Linked DNA regions of Yarrowia lipolytica. The protein of the gene in region 1 interacts with the protein of each later gene in a biochemical or structural test. Links are inferred from orthologs where the notes say so. Each region holds a gene or a part of one and is shown on either strand. Other genes may lie near its edges. The genes, in order: YALI1_F08454g and YALI1_C00772g.

Region 1 (11,033 bases):
TGGGGCTTTTTTTTTTGTTTTTTGGGAAATCTTTTTCAGCGTCACAACAGAGCAGAGACGAAGGTCAAGCTGGACGGGTGGGAAAATGAAATGATGTGGAATGGACGAGGAGTATAACGTCAAAATGACACGTCTAAAAACGTTGCCAAGAACATAGATTAGGCACGATAAGGTCGATCGCGGTCATGTGACATACCATATCGACGGCGAAGATGTGGTCGAGTCCCTCACATCCCGCTGGCTACAAGTAAGGTCCGTCGCGCGCGTCTCATCACACTCAGGCTTTATGTCTATCGACTCCAGAGTTGGAGGATCTAGTGGAAGAATCGAACCCACAACGTGTCCCAAAAAGCTTGTTGGGTGGCGACGTGTTAGTTGGCTTTTCTGATTATTAGTTGACTTGTTTGGGTAGATGAAGCTGGTTAGTTGAGAAAAGGGCGGAATATCGCTATTTCCGACGTGGAAAGAGTATATTAATGCTCGGTAATACCATCCGGGGAGTTCTTCTGCTTGTCATAACTCTTCTGAGCGCTTCAGAATGGTACGTTATTCCCACTCAAGATCACCCCATACATAATATATAAACATACGCCCCAAGTCTCACTCAAAAATCCGTATGGGCCCGACTGCGAAAAGCGCTCTAATATCGACTAGGGTCGGATGTTGAAAACGGAGGGTAAAATATGAGACGGGATTGTGTGTATTTACAGCTCGTTTGAAGAGCACGTGATTGTCGTAGGGGGAAGTGGTTGCAGTTTGGAAAAGCCGCTACTCTATTACACTTCGTTCGGGGCAATATAGTCGGAAACTAGTTGAAGAGAAAAGTGACTGGGGATTCAAAAGTGGTGTTCCCGAAACGCTACAAAGGTTGATTTTTTTACCAAATAATAGAGGTCTGTTTTGGTCCAGAAAATATAAGCAAATAGATTCCCTTCCTTAACAATATCTCTGGATTTATTTGGTTTTTGTAACTTCCTATGTGTATAAGTTTAGTTGGATTGTTAGTTGAACAAGCGCCGAACGAGGAACACAACATGGTAAAACGGTCAATAGTTGCTAGATGTAGATCGGGGGACTTTCAAAACGTAGTTGGAACGCAATGAAGTACGGTGATCAATTGTTTTGTGGAGTCAGCACACACACGGGCGATCCCAGATAGCTTCCTTTTGGATAGCAATGCATATGGGGTTTCTTTGGGATCTTATCGGTACCAAACATGCTCTTCAGAGTAGGAAAAGTAATATCGACTCCTTTCAACACTATTATAGCTCTCCACTTTACAGCGACCATCGCTGAGAGAACCCAGTGTTTTTGGTACTACTTTTAGTGTCTGTGAGGAAGGCTACGAGTACTGTATATACGATCGATACAGGAGACTCTCAGAGTCCCAGGGTCGCCAGAGCAGTATTTGAAGACGTTTCAGAAGTGTTCTATTCGAATTTTATTCGGAATGTCTTGAATCACCGAGCCGTTTCTTAGACATAGCGTGACCAGAGTGCCTTATAGGTTGTATACCCTTCGGCTACAAATGGCGGGGAGTGGTTCTAGAAGATAAGGAGTCCATGAATATGTCTCTAGAAGTTTACTGGCTCTAATGGCACTAATGAGTAGCTACGATACCAACTTAACGGTTACTAATGTGTTCAGTATTGAATAACCTATTGTACACTGTACTTGTATGATACAGCGGGCATTATGACTGTGCCCTATCACCAGCGTCCTCGTGTGATTGGTCTGTTCGTTGCGTGCAGGATATGATGTCTTTTCATGAACTACTCGTACTTGTAGATCTGCTCGGAACAATCAAGCAGTCTTATAAGGTAACCGGCCATGGCTTCGCTCATGGCTGTTTGATCGGTACAATGAATATTTTATTTTACATGCTTTTACACATTAAACAGACTCAAGAACGACATCCTTGAACTCCCGGTTGACCTTCTTTCCGTTGTCGTCGGTGGCACCTCCGTGAAGAGCGAGCAGAGCTCCGAGGTCGAACTTGGGCTGCTTGAGCAGCTTGACCTTTCGGATGTAGACGTTCTGCAGAGGGTAGATGTTCTGAGTGGCCTTCTCAATCTCTCGGCCAATAACCTCGGGGATGAGCTTGGCGGTGAGCTGAGCAAGAGTCACGTTGGAAGCCTCTCGGACAACAATGTCGGTCATCTTCTTTCGGATCTGGTTGATCTGAGAGGTCTGGGCGTAGGTGGTCTTCTTGACCTGGTTGGCCTGTCGCTTGGTGAAACCGATGACGAAGAGTCGGAGGAAGTAGTCGTCGGAGGTCTTGACGGTGACGTTAGCCTCAATCAGAGTCTGCCACTTTCGGACGAGAGATCGCAGCTTGTCGGAAGTGAAGTCAAAGCCGTGGAAGTTGGTGAGCAGGTTCTTGCCCTGGACCTCGTCAACTCGCAGCTTGACCTTCTTGAAGGAGTGGTCCTCCTGGCCCTGCAGATCAGCAAGGGACACCTCGAGCACTCGGCCCTTGAGGTAGTCGTTGGCGAGTCGCAGACCGGTGGATCGGTTCACGAGGGTCTTGCCGACGTCTCGGTTCTCAAAGGTGGAGGGAGCCTTGATGTTGTACCAGTCCTTCTTGGTGAAGGGGTCGACAACTCGCTTCTTGATACCCTTCTTTCCCCTGCGTTAGTACTGGAGGTTGGAGGTTGGAAGTTGGTAGTGGGTCTTAAGTCAATGTCCACGTCGTCCGAGTTGTCCAGTCGCCATCACTCGACATCTACCCTATGTCCACATCTCTCGACATCTACCCCAATCGAATCGATTCTCGTCATGCCCGCTGTAATACTCACTTAGAGAGTCGCTTGTTCTTTCCCTGAGCCATGGTGTTTAATCACGTCTTAATGTCGAACGGTGTTGAAGAAAGATGAAATAAGTATGAAGGGTTTTTTCATACACGCTTTTCGAATTAGGGTTTCTTGGGAGTTACCAACCCCCAAGAGTGTTTGGGTGCGGTACGCAGTGGGAAAACGCAGTCACATCACGTGATGTCCGAATGGGACCCAACCCCGGCGTGACGTTGGGACTACTCCCGGCGGATATTCTGGCACGCAAACTTCTCAGCCCGTTGGTCACATGATTATGATGTCATACTTGCCAAATTGATGAGACGCTGTCAACCCAGCGAGTGGAATAAGGTGGAATGAATTTAGGTCATTTGGTACCAGTGCAATTACAGTGGGGGGAAAAAAGAGTATTATAGGGTAGGATTTTGGGACATATTTTGGGGCGTAAATGGGGAATAAAATGGGAGTAAAAATGACATAAAAAAATAAGATAAAGTTGCATGTTAAAAATTAAAAAAAAAATTAAAAAATTAAAAAATTAGAACAATGTCATAATTGACCCAGAGAAGAAATATTGGGGTTTCTGATCAGTTTGATTAACTCTGACGGCTGTAAATCACCATCATAATTGGCCTACTTGTTTGTACAAATACGACTGCGGTACCATACCAGCTCATCTCGTCATAGTTCTGATGCATATGTGGGGAAGAGATGAGGGAGAAAGAGTTGCCCGTTTGTGATTTCAGATGGATTTGCTGTTGTTGGTTTTTCGTGGTGTATCTCGCCATTACGTGACTTGACTTTGCTCTGATATTACCCTTTCTGATTACAATGGTCGGTCTACATGGCGATACGAGTACGAGTACGAGTACATACTACGACTCACTCGAACCAGCAGCACCCTGCAAGAAGCACGTGGTTTGAACTCTTTCTAAAGATACGAGGACATCTTGAAAAATGTTTTGCAGACAACTGGAATGGCGGGTCACGTGGTTTGGAGCCGTTTCCTTTACCAATGATGTCTTCTAGTCTCTGTTGGCACCAGTGTACAAGTACTCGTACCACAATTATGTCCAGCATAGCTCCATATCTGGACTGAGAAGTTTCATGAAGAGTCCAAGAAGCTGATCCCATTAGATTGCCCGGTTGAAAAATCAGGTTTTTCAAGCTTCTTTTGGTCTTGAAGTAATCGAGTTAGAAAAAGAAGTACTGGTGTGGATAGTAAAGGGAAAGACTGGAAGTACTCGTCTCCCACTACTGCTACGGAGTATCTGACTTGTAGTCTAGGTCAGAGTACAAACTTCATGGCTTCACGGAGTTGAGAGAGTTATTTTGGAGCGAGATATATACTCATCTGTCATTCACAACTGTTAGTACTAACTGTTGTTTCAAGTTTTCCAAGTTCTACAGTAGAAGACAAGTTCTATTGGTATCGTCGTTCTGGAGTTGTCTGTTGTAGCTGGAACGTGGATTGTTAGAGATTCAAGTAAGGTAGAATATTTTTAGATATGTGGTTTCGACAGACTGTGTATTGAAAGATTTTCTTTACAAATCTCATATCGGAGTCTCTATCTGGATATGTTTCATGAGATGGGCAATCAGTGCACATGCGAAGATACTACTGCGAGATTGTCTTAAATATTCATGATGTGGTGATTGAAAACTGTTGGTTATATCATTGTAGCTCCAAGCAATAATGTCAGCCATTTTTTCCAGTACTTTGGTCGTTTTTATGCGTACCATCAATCAACGACCAATTCGACAGAAAATACTATCATTTAGATATTTATCTTTTTTCACAATTTATTTTTATTTGCATCACTACACCTGCACCTCTGAACCTAATCACAAAAGCCATGCTAACCAGACCCACTATAAGACCTTGTATTTAGTCCAAATTCGCCCCTAAAACTTCTCAGAATATACCTTTGAGTTAGTACAATCATTCTATTGGAAATTTCTGTTCTCATCGGCTCCGCTGCTCTTTTCACAGCCATTTTCCGACCCCCACTTTGCTCCCATGCACGCCACCCAAATTAAAACACGTCTGACGCGTCTCCAATCCCACACCACTTCAAAATGGAACCCAGGCAAAAAAAAGCCCGGTTTTTCGACTCTGAGGAGGACTTTGGCCCGGACACAAAGTCGCTGATTCGCCCCGGAAGCTCACACAAGCCTGGCAAGCCTGCCAGCAACTCTCTGGCTCGACCCACGCCTGCTCCATCGACTTTTCGATCTGATCTCGAGGCGTTTCTGGGGCCTCTTTCGGACCAACGGTTCGGTTTGTTGCTTGCAAAGAGCAAGGGAAATGTCGAACAGGCAGTCAATATCCATTTTGATCTGCCAGAGGAGGTGCAACAAGCGACATCGGAGGAGACGGCGGAAGAGGCGGAAGTGTCTCAAACGACCACCAGCGGCTTTGAGACGACACAAAAGCCCTCCCAAAACACACAGGTGCCTTCTAGAGTCCACACAAGAGGTGGTTGTTCGACTAGTCGTTTCATTGGTTCACTAGTGGTCACGGCATGGGCTTCTAAGTCTTCCAAGGGCAAAGTCAAGTACCAAGACAGACTCGTGGTGGAGCGCCAGTCCCACGACCATTCGAAATCGATCCGGAAGAATCCCACCGACAACTCGCATGTGCACATTCGCACTGTGTCTGGAGAACTTCTGGGGCGCATTTCTGGCGAGCACGACTACTCCATAGCATCTCTGATTGACAGTCGGGTGTGCGACTTTGAGGCGTCGTGTGTTTACGCTGACCACAATCTGAGTCTGGGCTCGAATTTCGTCGTTGAACTGAAATGCTACCTCACCGAAGAAGCGTTCCAGGACGTGGCTATGCCGTTGCTTGACAGCAAGACGGCCAAGAAACGGGAGTATGTGTTTGACAACTCGCGGGAGAGTCACGTGGAGAAGATGCTGCGCAACCGCCAAATCGCCATTGTCGATCTCTTCGGCAAGCTCAATCTTATCAAAGAAAATGAAGCCAACGCAGATATGGTCAAGGACATGCTGAGGGCCAAAAGCCAGCCGCCCTCCAGTCAACCGCCCTCTCAGAACTCAGAGGACGAAAGTGAACCTATTCCCACCGACGAGCTGGATGCCCTTTACAAACGAATCGAAAAGGAGGACGTGGAACAGCCAGAAACAGAGGTGGAGGGGTTCCCTCTAGAGTTGAGAAGATACCAGAAACAGGGATTGACGTGGATGATATCAAGGGAGACGGAGGTGAGCGAGTATTTTGACAATGACGACTCCGGACCTATAAACCCATTATGGACGAAAGTGGACTTTCCGGGAAGTGACGAAAAGTTCTATGTGAACTTTTCATCCGGTGCTCTGACTCTCAAGTTCCCTAAACAAGAAAGGTCCTTCTCAGGAGGCATTCTGGCCGACGAAATGGGTCTAGGAAAGACTATCTCGACGCTTGCCATGGTATACAGAGACCGGCACGTGGGATGCACGTTGGTGGTGGCCCCCATGTCGTTGCTATGGCAGTGGGAACAAGAATGTGAACGAGTTGGTCTGTCGACTTATGTATACCATGAAAAGGGAGCCGATATTGATTTGGATGAGTTGTTCAAAACGTACAGCCCTAACATTCTGATCACGTCATATCACACCCTGGTGTCTCACTATGGTCAGATCAAAGCTCTAGGAGGAGGGCTGGATCGCAACGTCATTTCTGAAACCAGTTCGCATGAGAGACCAAAGATTTTCACCAAGCATTTCCACCGAATCGTGCTAGATGAGGCACACGTGATCAAAAACAGAAATACCGTCTCGGCAAAGGCATGCTGTCTTTTGAGGGCTACCAACAAGTGGGCTCTGACCGGTACTCCTATTCACAACCGTCTGGAGGACCTCTTTTCGATTCTGAAGTTCCTGGGAGCAGCTCCATGGAACGATTTCATCTACTGGCGCAATTTCATCACTCTGCCGTTCCAGGAGGGTAAAATTGTCTCTGCTCTAATGACTGTTCAGTGCATTTTGGAGCCCATAGTGTTGAGACGAACCAAGAACATGAAACAGGCTGATGGAAGTCCTCTGGTAGTGTTACCCAAGAAGACGATCAACATTGAGAAGGTGGCATTGACCGACCAGGAGAGAGTCATCTACAGCTATGTTCTTGCACGAGCTCAGACGTCTCTTCAAAAGTCTGAAGCATCTGAGGCTGTGGGACGCAACTATCTGAACATTTTGACCCAGATTTTACGTCTTAGACAGTCGTGCTGTGATCCAGCGTTGATTTTGCGCCCGGAAGCCGAAGTGCCCACCGACGAGCAGCTTCAGATTGAAGAAAACGAGTCTCAACTCAAGAGCATGATTCAACAATATAATGACGATACTCAGACATCCGCCTGCGAGTATTCGTCTGAGATTATCGCGCAATTACAGGACCAATCGGCTCCTCCAGAGTGTCCCATCTGTGCTGAAGACGTGACCAAGCTGGCCATCTCAAAATGTCTACATATGGGATGTGTGGACTGTCTGGCTGACAATGTTCGGTTCCAGGAGAGCAAGAAGCAGACGCCGGTATGCTGTATATGTCGTCAGCCTGCCGCTCTGAAAGATATATTCGAAGTAGAGAGAACAGGGGAAGATTGCAAGGATATCCGCTTGAAGAAGTTATCTGACAGACCACGCTCTTCCAAGCTCGTTGCTCTGGTTTCCAAGCTCAAGCAGCTCCCTAAAGACGCCAAATCCGTCGTCTTTTCGCAGTTCACAAGCTACCTAGACATCATCCAGACTGAACTGCGTCGTGAAAAGATCCAGGCTTTCAGATTTGATGGTACCTTGTCCAGACAGCAGAGGACCGACGTTCTCAAGGCGTTCGGACTTTCCAAGGGCTCGGTGCTTCTGATCTCGCTCAAAACTGGAGGGGTGGGTCTGAATCTGGTCACTGCCAACCATGCCTTTATCATGGACCCCTGGTGGACGTTTGCACAGGAGGCTCAGGCCATTGACCGAATCCATCGAATGGGACAGACGAAAGACGTGCACGTGACTCGGTTCATTGTGGAGAACTCTGTCGAGGAGAAGATGTTGAAGATCCAGCAACAGAAGATGGTTTTGGCGGGTACGTTGGGTATGTCTGAGCAGGAACAGAAGGCTCAGAGAATCGAGAACATTAAGACTCTGTTGGGGGAGTAATGGAGTACCCCACGTACAGAATGGTGATGATGATGGTGATTGTTACGGTGATGGTGACGGTGATGATGGTAATGGTACCGAGTTGCCGGAGATGTGGAGATGTACATACTAATGTGATTTATAGATTGATCGAAACGTGAAGTTTTGTTCTCAGTTGCAATCAATGGCTGTTCATGTTGATGTCTGTGACTCAATAGTCGGGAAACCCCTGGACATACTGTATCTGAATGTACAGTATAAAGTGAGCAATTCCGACATCCTGACGGAGTGGTCTAATAAAAACATATTGATGGACTATTTTACATCAGATGAACAAATCTTCTCACACAAACTAGTCGTGAAAGACCCACCTTAGGTCATAACCGGAGCTTGTGCACCTGGCTAGAAGAGTATCGAGAACATACGCCACTAATGCACAAAAAGAACTCCATTTGTTTCTGAGTGGTATTATACAACAATCACAGGTCCGTAGAATATCGATGATGAGATTTGTTCAGCATTTTCAGTGTTAATAAGTGTACTGTATGTACAGTATGTACATAGTCGTCTACACCGACAGTCTGGAAGAGTGTTCAGGACGTAGTTCGAGTCCACAGAGTGGACTAAATACGTGCTCCAAGAGCATTTCGCTCCATATCTGTTTTGTCGCAACTTATGAAATGCAGAGGTGCTATGAAACAGGCCATAGAAACTCTTGTTGGAAAGGTATTGTCGTTTAGTTGAGAAATACTTTTGACAAAGTATACGAACTTGTTCGGGGGTTCGTTTCAGGTGTTTCTGAAAAGGAGGTAGTCTTCAGCATATTTTGAGAGAAGACATCGGATTTTTTATATATTATGTAATTGAAATAAAAATCCCCATGGCAGTAACTAATTTATCTCTGATTTTTTTTTTTTCTGTTCATATCATTCATTTTAATTATATACTTTTGCTGTTGAAAGAATAACCTTTGAAATGAATGTAACGCTTACACGAAATATTACTAATTAAACCACGGTTTAGTGTCATGGTGCCAAACTTGGCAACGTACCCTATTTCCAGTAAAAAAATCATAAAAAAACCTGGTTCAGGTCCGGTGTTGTATGTTGGTCCCACATAGCTTCGCATGTTTGTTATTCTCCACATTTTTGTATAAGACCGTTCCAGTATGTACAGTGTACATACTTGTCCATGTTAGTTGGGGTTTTTAGTTACAGTTACCAAGTAGGTTGGGGAGTATTTTGGGAGTATTTCCAAAATATATATTGCTTGTAGTTCCAAAATATATATTGCTTGTTAGTTATAAAAATATATATGCTTGTAGTTATAAAAATATAGATATAAAAACAGAGCACTCTAAACCGATGCCGCTAGCCCAGGATTCAGAAATCACGCCCAATGCACTCCCCACAAATGCAACCGCTAGATACACCGATGACCGAATTAATTGATACACAGTTGTGTCGGAAAATATCTCAAAAAAGACCCCTGGTCTAGCGACAGTAATGATCATCTCTCCGTCCGGGATAAACCCCAATTTTGAGTATAAGGCACCAACCAACTTTGCCCTTGGTAAGGTGATATTAAAGGTTACTGTCCATTGAGTGTGGAAAAGTACCTCATTGGAGCGGGATCATGTCATATCGGCCAGTATCCATTGGATCGGATCATCATGTATGCCCACACTATCACCATGTCAATTGAAGAGTCATTGTGGGCCAATTGACTTGTTTCTACAGAGTCAATTGAGTGCCCTATCATGATCTATACTACAGTCACGAGTACCAGTTCCTAGTGCTAGTACAGTATGTGCACTCAATTGTCATATCTACAGCCATACTCACTCAATTGAGTCACCAGGAGTGACCTACAAGTAAATACAAGTCATAGCCTACCATACTACAGTGTCTACTCCCACTCCACGGGAGGTCGGTCTAATTCTGAATCTGTTTCAAGTCATAATCTACAAGTACTTCCTGATACTTCTGGGCCTATTGAGCTTCTCTCAATCGACGTGTCTACTTCTGAACCTGCTCATCGGCCCAAGACTCCTTCTCGACATAATCGTCAGACTCCTTGTCGAGCTTTTTCTCCTTGGCGAGTCGCTTCTCGGCCTCAGCATCTCGCTCGGCCTTGGGCTCCACGTCCTGTGCACCCTTCTCGGGCTTGTGTTCCTCAGGAGAGTGTTCCTTGGCAGGCACGGTTTCCGAGGTCTTCTCGGATACTCCATGGGGAGCGTCCTGGAATTTCTCGCCCTCGGGCTTGCTGGGGGGTCCTCCGTCGGTCTTCTTGCCCTTGAGTCTGTCGTCGTCAATGAGATCCTGGTCTCGCAGCTCCTTGATGCCCTCCTTCTGGTGTCCGTCGTCCTCGTCGGTGGCCTTGGCTCGCTTGTCGGCAATCTCCGCGTCTCGGGTTCCGTCATCCTTCCACTTGAGATCGGGCTGGTTCTTGGCTAGCACTGCCTCGTCAAAGTCCTTGCCCTCATTGCCTCCCTTCTTGGCGGCCTCCTCCTTCTCCTTGCTGAAGTTCTCCTCCTTCTCCTTGATTGCATCCACGTCGGCAGAGGGCACCTTGGCCGTCACCTCGGTGGCGTCAATTGGGGGGAGAGCGGGCACCTCGTACTCCTCCTTCTTCTTGGGAGCAGGCTTGGGGGGGTTCGTCCACGAGTTGACAACGTAGGCGGTGGGGATGACGAACAGAGCCAGACCGGTAGCGGCCCAGGGCAGGTCCGAGCCGCCCTTGGAAGACGAGCCGGAAGAGTATTGACGTCGCTGCAGCTGTCGAGAGCCCTGTCGCAGCTGGGTTCGTAGAGGTCGGGCGAGTCGAGAGATCATAGTTGTGTGTTGGCAGTGTTGGTGATTGGATGGTCCTGGGGGCCAAGCTTCCTTATATATCTTGGTGAATCTTGGGGGAACAACCAACCAATGGGACGATAGGGTGCCGGGAGCATGCATCGAGGCGGCACTCAGATTAATATGTGCTACTGTACTGCGCCGGCCCCATCAACAAGGTTATCTGATTGCGTAGCGAGAGCACAAGCGAGTCTGGGGGGCGTGGGGCCCTGCTTCTGTGTCATTTATTTGCTCGCCGCCATCACCACTTTTT
Region 2 (8,454 bases), on another chromosome or scaffold:
CCGCACTCAGACCCTACAACCTGTAACACGACCGTTTCAACCGTTTCATCGGAAGCTGCACATTTCAACTCATCCGCATGCAGCCTAACATGGTTTTACGAGACGAGAATGCAGTGCTCGACACGCGTCTGCCGCGCTCGCGCGCAGTGAGTTAATTTGCCCTGGACTTGACAGAGTGGGAAGTCGACATCAGCAAAGGGAATGCAATCTCGCCGAAGAGAGATAAAAATAGATGATGCAGGGTGAGTGGAGTACCGTACGTGTAGGAGCACTCACTCAGATGGCGGAGAAGGGGAGATTGATCTGATAACTTTGTGACACCTCTTCAGGGTCTACCTCCTGTCGTTTCCGCTGGCACTAACCAACGTCATGATTCTTTCAGCTGTCAGAAACCAAAAGAAAGTAGCTCGTCTGATCCGTCAGAGTCTGCAAATGACAAACTCATCTAAGCCAATACTGTACCGTATCGCACCGACGAGTATCGTACATTACTGCGCTTTTCCATAGCCCTCCTCTTTACTTGCATCTACTTGTAGTATTTAGCCTACAGTACAGTAGAGTTCAATACAGGAACGTCCTTGTGTGTGAGGTCCTCAGACTTCCATAAATAGACCCACGATCTTTCCACATTCCACCCATCTCACCCAACTACAACGTACTCTGCGTACTCTACAAATAAAATTGCTCTGTACGATGCTAAATTTAGAACCATTTTGACGATTGGCAACTGCAGTAACATCACAACAATGACCCTCGTCGTAGATACCCGTATGTAGTGCTGTCTCAATTCATTCCAACAGAATCAGACGCAGAACTGAAATCGAGACTGTGGAGATTCCAAGAGCAACCAAGAGCCCAATGGTACAGCAGCAATTTAAAGATTCATAATTCTAGCCAAAATTAGTTCCCTTTTGTCTTGGTAGCCCTTTATCTACCCCACAGTCTTATCATAAGCTGCTACTGTAGAACGTGAGTGTTGTTTTATAGGGTGGACCTTTGGTGTCCAGATCAGGAAACCAAGGGTTAGGGTGTAAATCCGCATTTTTCACCATGGATTGGGGCTAATTTACAATTTTTAAAAATTATCAGCGATGTGGCGCAGCGGAAGCGCGCAGGGCTCATAACCCTGATGTCCCCGGATCGAAACCGGGCATCGCTATTTGTTTTTTGGATTACCCAACTTACGCTGTACGTGAGTGTACATACTGCATGTGTTACTGCAGCATGCATCAAATTTTTTTTTTGGCGTCGTCTGTGTGGGCCCCAAAGTTTTCACTTGTAAGCCTCCAGTTACCCGGCACGTAACCTCACCACTATAGAATGGTAGTTAAAACTCAGGAGACTTTGGAAGTGGAGAGAGACGATTTCAGCGTTCAGGATTGAAGGGGACGTTGCCACCAACGAACACTGTCCACTAAAACACCGCTAGAGTGTTGGATCCGCCCATTGGCCATACTGTTACGGCTACATTGGAGTTGTGGCCCATCACGTGCTTTCCCAATACGGCCATAAAGCTTAAAATTGTTACATGAAGATTTTTCCCAAGGCCATTTTTTTCTGCTTTCTGCAGGTGACGTTCTACATATCCCACAACACAACCATCTTCGACAAACGACCACTCGTTGTTGACGACCTCCAAAACCCCAAAAAAAGACAGACAACAATAGATCACCCCCCGCTCGGTATCTATTAGTCTCATAAAATCCAAAAAGCAAAAAAAAATCCAACTTTCTCGCCCCCCGCGCTTTTGTGTCTCTTAACCACAAAGCCACCCTTTTTTTTCTTAGGAAGTATTCGCTTACGTTTCCTAGTTTAATTTCTGTTCTCAACAATGTCTGCTGACGCTTCTCTTGTTGCTGCCGAGAAGGCTCTCGAGAAGATGACCCTCGAGAACAAGGCCGAGGCCTCCCCTGCCACCAAGGAGGAGACCACCACTGAGGCTGCCCCCGCTGAGGGAGAGGCCAAGACTGAGTCCTCCGAGGAGAAGGGCTCCAAGGAGGACCAGGGCGACAACGCCTCCCTCTACGTCGGAGAGCTTGATCCCTCCGTTACCGAGGCCATGCTGTTTGAGATCTTCAACCCCATTGGCCCCGTTACCTCCGTCCGAGTGTGCCGAGACGCCATCACCCGACGATCTCTTGGATACGCCTACGTCAACTTCCACAACCAGGCTGACGGTATCCGAGCTCTTGAGGAGCTCAACTACTCCCCCATCAAGGAGCGACCCTGCCGAATCATGTGGTCTCAGCGAGACCCTGCTCTGCGAAAGACCGGAGCCGGCAACATCTACATCAAGAACCTGGACCCTGCCATTGACAACAAGGCTCTGCACGACACCTTCTCTGCCTTTGGCCAGATTCTGTCCTGCAAGATTGCCACCGATGAGTTTGGCAACTCTCGAGGTTTCGGATTCGTCCACTACGAGTCTGCCGAGTCTGCCGAGTCTGCCATCCAGCACGTCAACGGTATGCTTCTGAACGACAAGAAGGTCTTCGTTGGTCCCCACGTCCCCAAGTCTGATCGAATGCAGTCTTTCGAGGAGCAGAAGAACTCCTTCACCAACGTGTTCATCAAGAACCTTGGTACCGAGATCACCGAGGCTGAGTTTGAGGAGCTCGTCAACAAGTTCGGAGAGACCTCCTCTGTCCACCTCTCCACCAATGACGAGGGCAAGCCCACCGGTTTTGGTTTCGTCGACTACAAGGAGCACGACGTTGCCGTCAAGGCCATCGACGGTCTGTCCGAGACTGAGTTCAAGGGAAACAAGCTCTTCGCCGGCCGAGCCAAGAAGAAGTATGAGCGAGCCGACGAGCTCCGAAAGCAGTACGAGGCCTCTCGACTTGAGAAGCTCAACAAGTACCAGGGCGTCAACCTGTACATCAAGAACCTCGATGACACCATTGACGACGACAAGCTGCGAGCCGAGTTTGCCCCCCACGGAACCATCACCTCTGCTAAGGTCATGGTTGACGAGGCTGGTAAGTCCAAGGGCTTCGGTTTCGTCTGCTACTCCTCTCCCGAGGAGGCCACCAAGGCTGTCACTGAGATGAACCACCGACTTGTTGCCGGCAAGCCTCTGTACGTTGTCCTTGCCCAGCGAAAGGACGTCCGACGATCTCAGCTCCAGCAGCAGATCCAGGCCAAGAACCAGATGCGACTCCAGCAGCAGGCTGCCGCTGGTGGTCTCCCCGGCCAGTACATGGGCAACCCCGGTGTCTTCTACCCCGGCCAGCCCGGCTTCATGCCTCCTGGACGAGGTGGAATGCCTTTTGGTGCTAACCCCCAGATGATGATGCGACCCCCCATGCCTCCCCAGAACCAGTTCCCTCCCCGAGGTGTTCCCGGTGGCCCCAACATGTACGGCGCTCCTCCTCAGGGCTACCAGCAGGGTGGTTTCCCTCCCCAGGGCCCCATGCGAGGCGGCCAGCCTCCCCGATCCGGCCAGCCCGGTCCCCAGGGTCAGTTCCGAGGTGCTCCCCGACGAAAGGACGGTGAGTCCCGAGTTGCCGACTCCATTTCTAACGCTCTTGAGAACGCTCCTGAGGAGCAGCACAAGCAGCTCGTTGGTGAGGCTCTGTACCCCAAGGTTCTCGCTGAGAAGGCCATTGATGGTAACGCCGAGTTTGCCGGTAAGATCACCGGTATGCTGCTCGAGATGCCCATCAAGGAGATTCTCGAGGTCATTGACGACGAGGAGGGTCTCCAGGCTCAGATCAACGACGCCATCACCGCCTACAACGAGTACCTCAACTCTCAGAAGGAGGAGTAATTGTGTAATAAAATGTGTGGATTATGTGATAAGGATAAGCCAAGTAGTGAGCCAAAACCCGAGCAGTACCACTTGCATAGCAGTGAGTATGTACTTGTAGATGAATTATAGAGAGTCATGATTGAGGCCATTGGTAATTGGTTTGTAACTAACGTTGTTGTTGGTCAATTGGAAATATGTTACCACCAATGGATTCACAGTGCGCATGTTGCAATACTAAAGTGGTCTGGGAATTGCGATACAGTTGATTCTGGGAGTGTTCAACGACGACAAAGGTGCTGCGATATAGTGTGCATACGTATGTATAGTATTGTAGTCGCAGCAGTATTCTCAATATCACTAATCTCAACTAAAGATTTCAACGGGGGAAATGGTGCAATTCTCTCAAATCACGAATATATCCCTGTTCGACACCAAGACCAAATCAACATGGGCTTTGGGTGTAGAGTAGATCATGAAAGACGGTGTACATAAGGCAGTCGTCCAATACTGTACTAGTACAATGGCTCATCAAAGGACTATCGAGTCGGAAACTCATATCATAAATTAATATATACATCTGTTGTGAAAGCGGTTGTGGTCATTTCTTCCTGTCGCTCAAGGTGGTCACTTCTTTTCATCGGACTGAACGAGGAACGAAGTAATACTATCTGCCTCTTGCTGCCGGATCTCTTCGGCTCGCTCCTGTATGAGCTGTTTCTTTGATTTAAGAGGAGTGGCATCCACAAACTTGATCGAAAAGCCCTTGGGTTTCTCCTCGGGTTCAATTTTCTCCACCTGGGTTAGTTGATACTGAGAGTGGTAAGCGTAAAGCTAGCATGACGACCAGGATAGGTTTCCAAAGGTCAATCCCACGAGAACAAATGAACTCCATGAGCTGATTCACCAACTTTCGCTGCAACAACTGTCTGTGTTGCCACACTGGGGTCAAGGCTTCGGTCGTCTCCTTACCACTACAATCGGAAAGTAATGTCCAGAAGTTCTGTCTAGCATCCCTTGATTTTCTTGGAGTCTTGATTTTTCTTGGAAGTCCTTGATCTGCCGCAGAAAGTCCTTGGTCATTAGCTCTCGGGCTGCGCCCTCAGCTACCTCCTACTGTCATACTCACCAGAACATAATTCTTGTTCATAAGCCACACTCCCCAGACGGCCCCGAAAGTGAGTCCTATCGACAGAGCAACGAATCTGCTGTTGAAAGTGGCGCCTGTTTTTGGGATCTTGGTGATCATTGTGGTTGTGCGGGATAGTGTCTACTTTTTTTCGCCTCGCCTGTGGCTTGCATTTCATATCGTATAGTAGGGTTAGGGCTGTCTCTCCCAATATCACGGTTATCTCAACCACTGTGCGTACATTGTTAGCATCTTCAATACACCCCCAATGAACGCCCTTCCCAAGAGAATCAGCAAGGAGACCGAGCGGCTCGTCAAGGAGCCCGTGCCGGGAATCTCCGCTGCACCCCACGACGACAACCTGCGGTACTTCGACGTCACTATCGACGGGCCTACCTCTTCCCCCTACGAGGGCGGTACTTTCAAGCTGGAGCTCTTTCTGCCCGAAGACTACCCCATGGTGCCCCCCAAGGTGCGATTTCTGACCAAAATCTACCACCCCAACATTGATCGACTTGGCCGAATCTGTCTGGACGTGCTCAAGTCCAACTGGTCGCCTGCTTTGCAGATCCGAACCATTCTGCTGTCCATCCAGGCGCTGCTTGGAGCTCCCAATCCTGACGACCCGCTCGCCAATGACGTGGCACAAAAGTGGAAGGAGGACGAGAAGACTGCTATTCAGACTGCCCGGGACTGGACCAAGGAGTACGCCAAGGCGTAGAGATTAGAGTAATTTATTGAGCATGCCCCCACCAAACAGAGGTCGTAAAACGGAGGTTGGACATTGTACCCCTTGAAGGTTGCAGGGTTTCTGATGGAGCCGGAGCTGTTAGGCCAAATGGAAGCCGCAGACTGCAAGTTGGAGATGGCCTTGTGTTTTGCTGCTGTAGAAGTGGAAGTTGCCCCTCAAGCCTCAAGCACTTACTGTACTGGTCATTAGCCGATTGACTCTCAGCTTAGTTAAGCGACAGCACGATATTTTTAGTAGGGGTGGCTTCTGTTATAGTGCGATGGTCTCAGATGAGGTCTCATGCAGTAGAGATTGAGTGAACCAAGAAGGTAGATCAGAACTCACAAGCTACTGGGGTTCATTCAAAAGCTATTGTATCGTAAAACAGATAGCTGCAATGGATTCTGCAGGCATGAGTTGGTACATTAATGTTTTCAAATCTTGTAAACATCTCTCTCAGGGCTTACTGCGTTGGGCTCTCATGCTCCCTTCCGCTGTCCCGCCGAATACTGGACATATCGGGCCAGTATAATACACATGTGGGAAGATGTCATATACTTGTAACACTCAGCTACAATGTTGTACAGTACAACGGATGCCACATCTGATATCAGTAATATACTGCTATCGATAGAGGTTCAATTCCATCCCACAGATATCATCCCGCTCAGCTCCATCAGTCTGCACCAAGATGGCCCTCTCGCGTGTGCGAAAGTTGTACCTGAAGATCCCCTACTACCGTCTTGAATATGGTCAGTGGATCTCATGGCAGGAGTACACCAATTCGATTTCGAATCGGAGTCCCTTCTACCACCGTTTGGTCACGCCCAGCCCGCCTGAACGTGCGGAGGAGCCATTACCGAAAGATTTTAGAGCTCTACAGGGAAAAAACACAGCGGGAGTTGAAGGAGTGGAACTTTCACGACCTCGGCCCGACTAATGGCAACAAGGCCCTTGGTCAGACAGAGAATGGTGGCTGTAAAACTGCAGATTCTACTCTTGCCTCACAGGTATACAGAGCTTACCCTTTCAGACTCCAGCGAAAAACAGATATCCGGGCAAGCCTGTATGGCAACAAGGGTTCCAACATCGATGAAGAAGAAGAAACTTGTCTTTTCATTCAGTACAATGATGACACAAGTCAAGAACACTTCTTAGAATCGCTGAACGCACCCTGTAACTCCCTTCTGCTTGTAGCAGACAGTAGGACATTTTCACAAGGCGATGCGGGGATATTTTCGATACCTATCGTGTTCTAAGAGGTGGACAGGCCCTGCTTATTGGCACGAGTCGTCCTCTCCAAACAGCAGACTGTTGTTCCTTCTTGAACATCCAGGTGGTTTGACATGAGTCGGAAGTCAGGGACTCAGAGTTGCCCGCATTGAAGCCCTTCATCCCTGAAGATGACTGGTACCCTCGATACGGTCTATCTTACCATTATGATGATTTTCTTATATATGTGGTAGATGTTCAAACCAGACGAGTTCATGATGTGATGGAGAGAGATAAAGTGGTTCATGTACTTGTAGGTGTTTCAGACGGACAATTGGATATATTGCAATATGGAAATACGCAAGGGAGTATCTCGCGAAGAAGCGCCAGGAGCAGAATGTGACAATGATGGAAAGCCTGATAGAGAATTTATTGGAGTACCCAGACATAGTAGATGCGTGCAAGGGAGAAGCTATAAGGTGGTCTGCTATGCAGCGAGGTCATTGAGTGAAGAGATCTGATTCTTGACGTGGTGGTGGAACCAACAAGATCTTAACGATGCGCTGACTAATTATACAATCATGTGGTCTTGGCTTCAATGCTTGTTCCTAATGGCAATACTGTAAATATCCCACTGTGTTGCTGTATTCAATCAATTACTAATGACTAACTGTTTACTTGCAGAGGTCCATGATGGTGTTGACAACATCAGAGTCGTTCTTCTTAAGACCGTTGATGGCCTTGTTTCGGGAAACGTTGGCCTGCTCCATAACAAGCTTGATGTCGGAGTCCTCAAGGCCGGTGGCATCAGCCTCGGCCTCGTCCTCGGCATCCTCGTCCTTGGACAGAGAAGCAGCCTCGAGGTCAGCGGTGATGGAAGCGGGATCCTTGGAGGCAAGCTCAGCGCCAACCTCACCGGCGGCAGCAGCCTCGGAGACGGAGCCGGTCTCGGCAGCAGCCTGCTGGGCCTGGGCAGCGGCGATCTGGGCAGCTCGGGCGGTGGCCTGCATGTCCTCGTGCTGGGCCTCACCGAAGACAACGTAGGAGTTGCCGGTGGGGGTCTTGTAGACCTCGGGGTTGGCGATCACGAAGATGTGCTGTCGGGTTCGCTTGAGGACAACTCGGGTGATACCCTCAACCTTCTGGAGGTTGAGCTTGGAGATGAGGGCTCGGGCGGCCTTCTCCTCCTTCTTGATGACGATGGTGGAGTTCTCCTCGATCTGGGGGACCTGGTCCTCGGTAATTTCCTCAATCTTGTTCTCGGCAGACACTGTGTTAGCGAACGAATTAGCGAGCTATGGTGTAGCCACGGGAAGCAAGCGATCTGAACAAGCCATGATCTGTCGATATCTCGTCGTTTTCTGCTCAATTGCGGTTTTCTGCGTTGTTTGTACTCACTTTTTAATATGGTGATGTGTATATGTTGTGTCGGGAGTGAAATTTTCACCACAAGCGGAGTGGGGTGTACATTTGAGCATGGTTACCCGGCAAGGGTTAGGGTCTGCGGTGCGTACCTGAATCCTAAATGTGTGGAGTTGCGAGGAAATCAAAGGAGGGATGATGAGAGGAGGAAAAGATGGATATATATCATGCCGAGGGAATAAGACATACAAAGACAGAGATGGAAATTGGACA

What was found.
Region 2: the proteins of YALI1_F08454g (region 1) and YALI1_C00772g form a complex in vitro, tested with the Saccharomyces cerevisiae proteins (3 studies listed by BioGRID). The link is inferred for Yarrowia lipolytica from reciprocal best matches to the Saccharomyces cerevisiae genes RAD5 and UBC13.

The regions. Positions count from the first base shown.
Region 1 is NC_090775.1:840,540-851,572, forward strand, and holds YALI1_F08454g (uncharacterized protein), read left to right. Parts: upstream 1-4,871; coding exon 4,872-7,949; downstream 7,950-11,033. Other genes in the region: YALI1_F08431g (40S ribosomal protein eS1), read right to left, coding at 1,894-2,629, 2,799-2,830; YALI1_F08514g (uncharacterized protein), read right to left, coding at 9,947-10,882. UniProt on the Saccharomyces cerevisiae protein: Probable helicase, member of the UBC2/RAD6 epistasis group. Functions with the DNA repair protein RAD18 in error-free postreplication DNA repair.
Region 2 is NC_090772.1:72,143-80,596, forward strand, and holds YALI1_C00772g (uncharacterized protein), read left to right. Parts: upstream 1-5,145; coding exon 5,146-5,598; downstream 5,599-8,454. Other genes in the region: YALI1_C00739g (uncharacterized protein), read left to right, coding at 1,832-3,769; YALI1_C00766g (uncharacterized protein), read right to left, coding at 4,376-4,546, 4,878-4,997; YALI1_C00784g (uncharacterized protein), read left to right, coding at 6,357-6,866. UniProt on the Saccharomyces cerevisiae protein: Has a role in the DNA error-free postreplication repair (PRR) pathway. The UBC13/MMS2 heterodimer catalyzes the synthesis of non-canonical poly-ubiquitin chains that are linked through 'Lys-63'.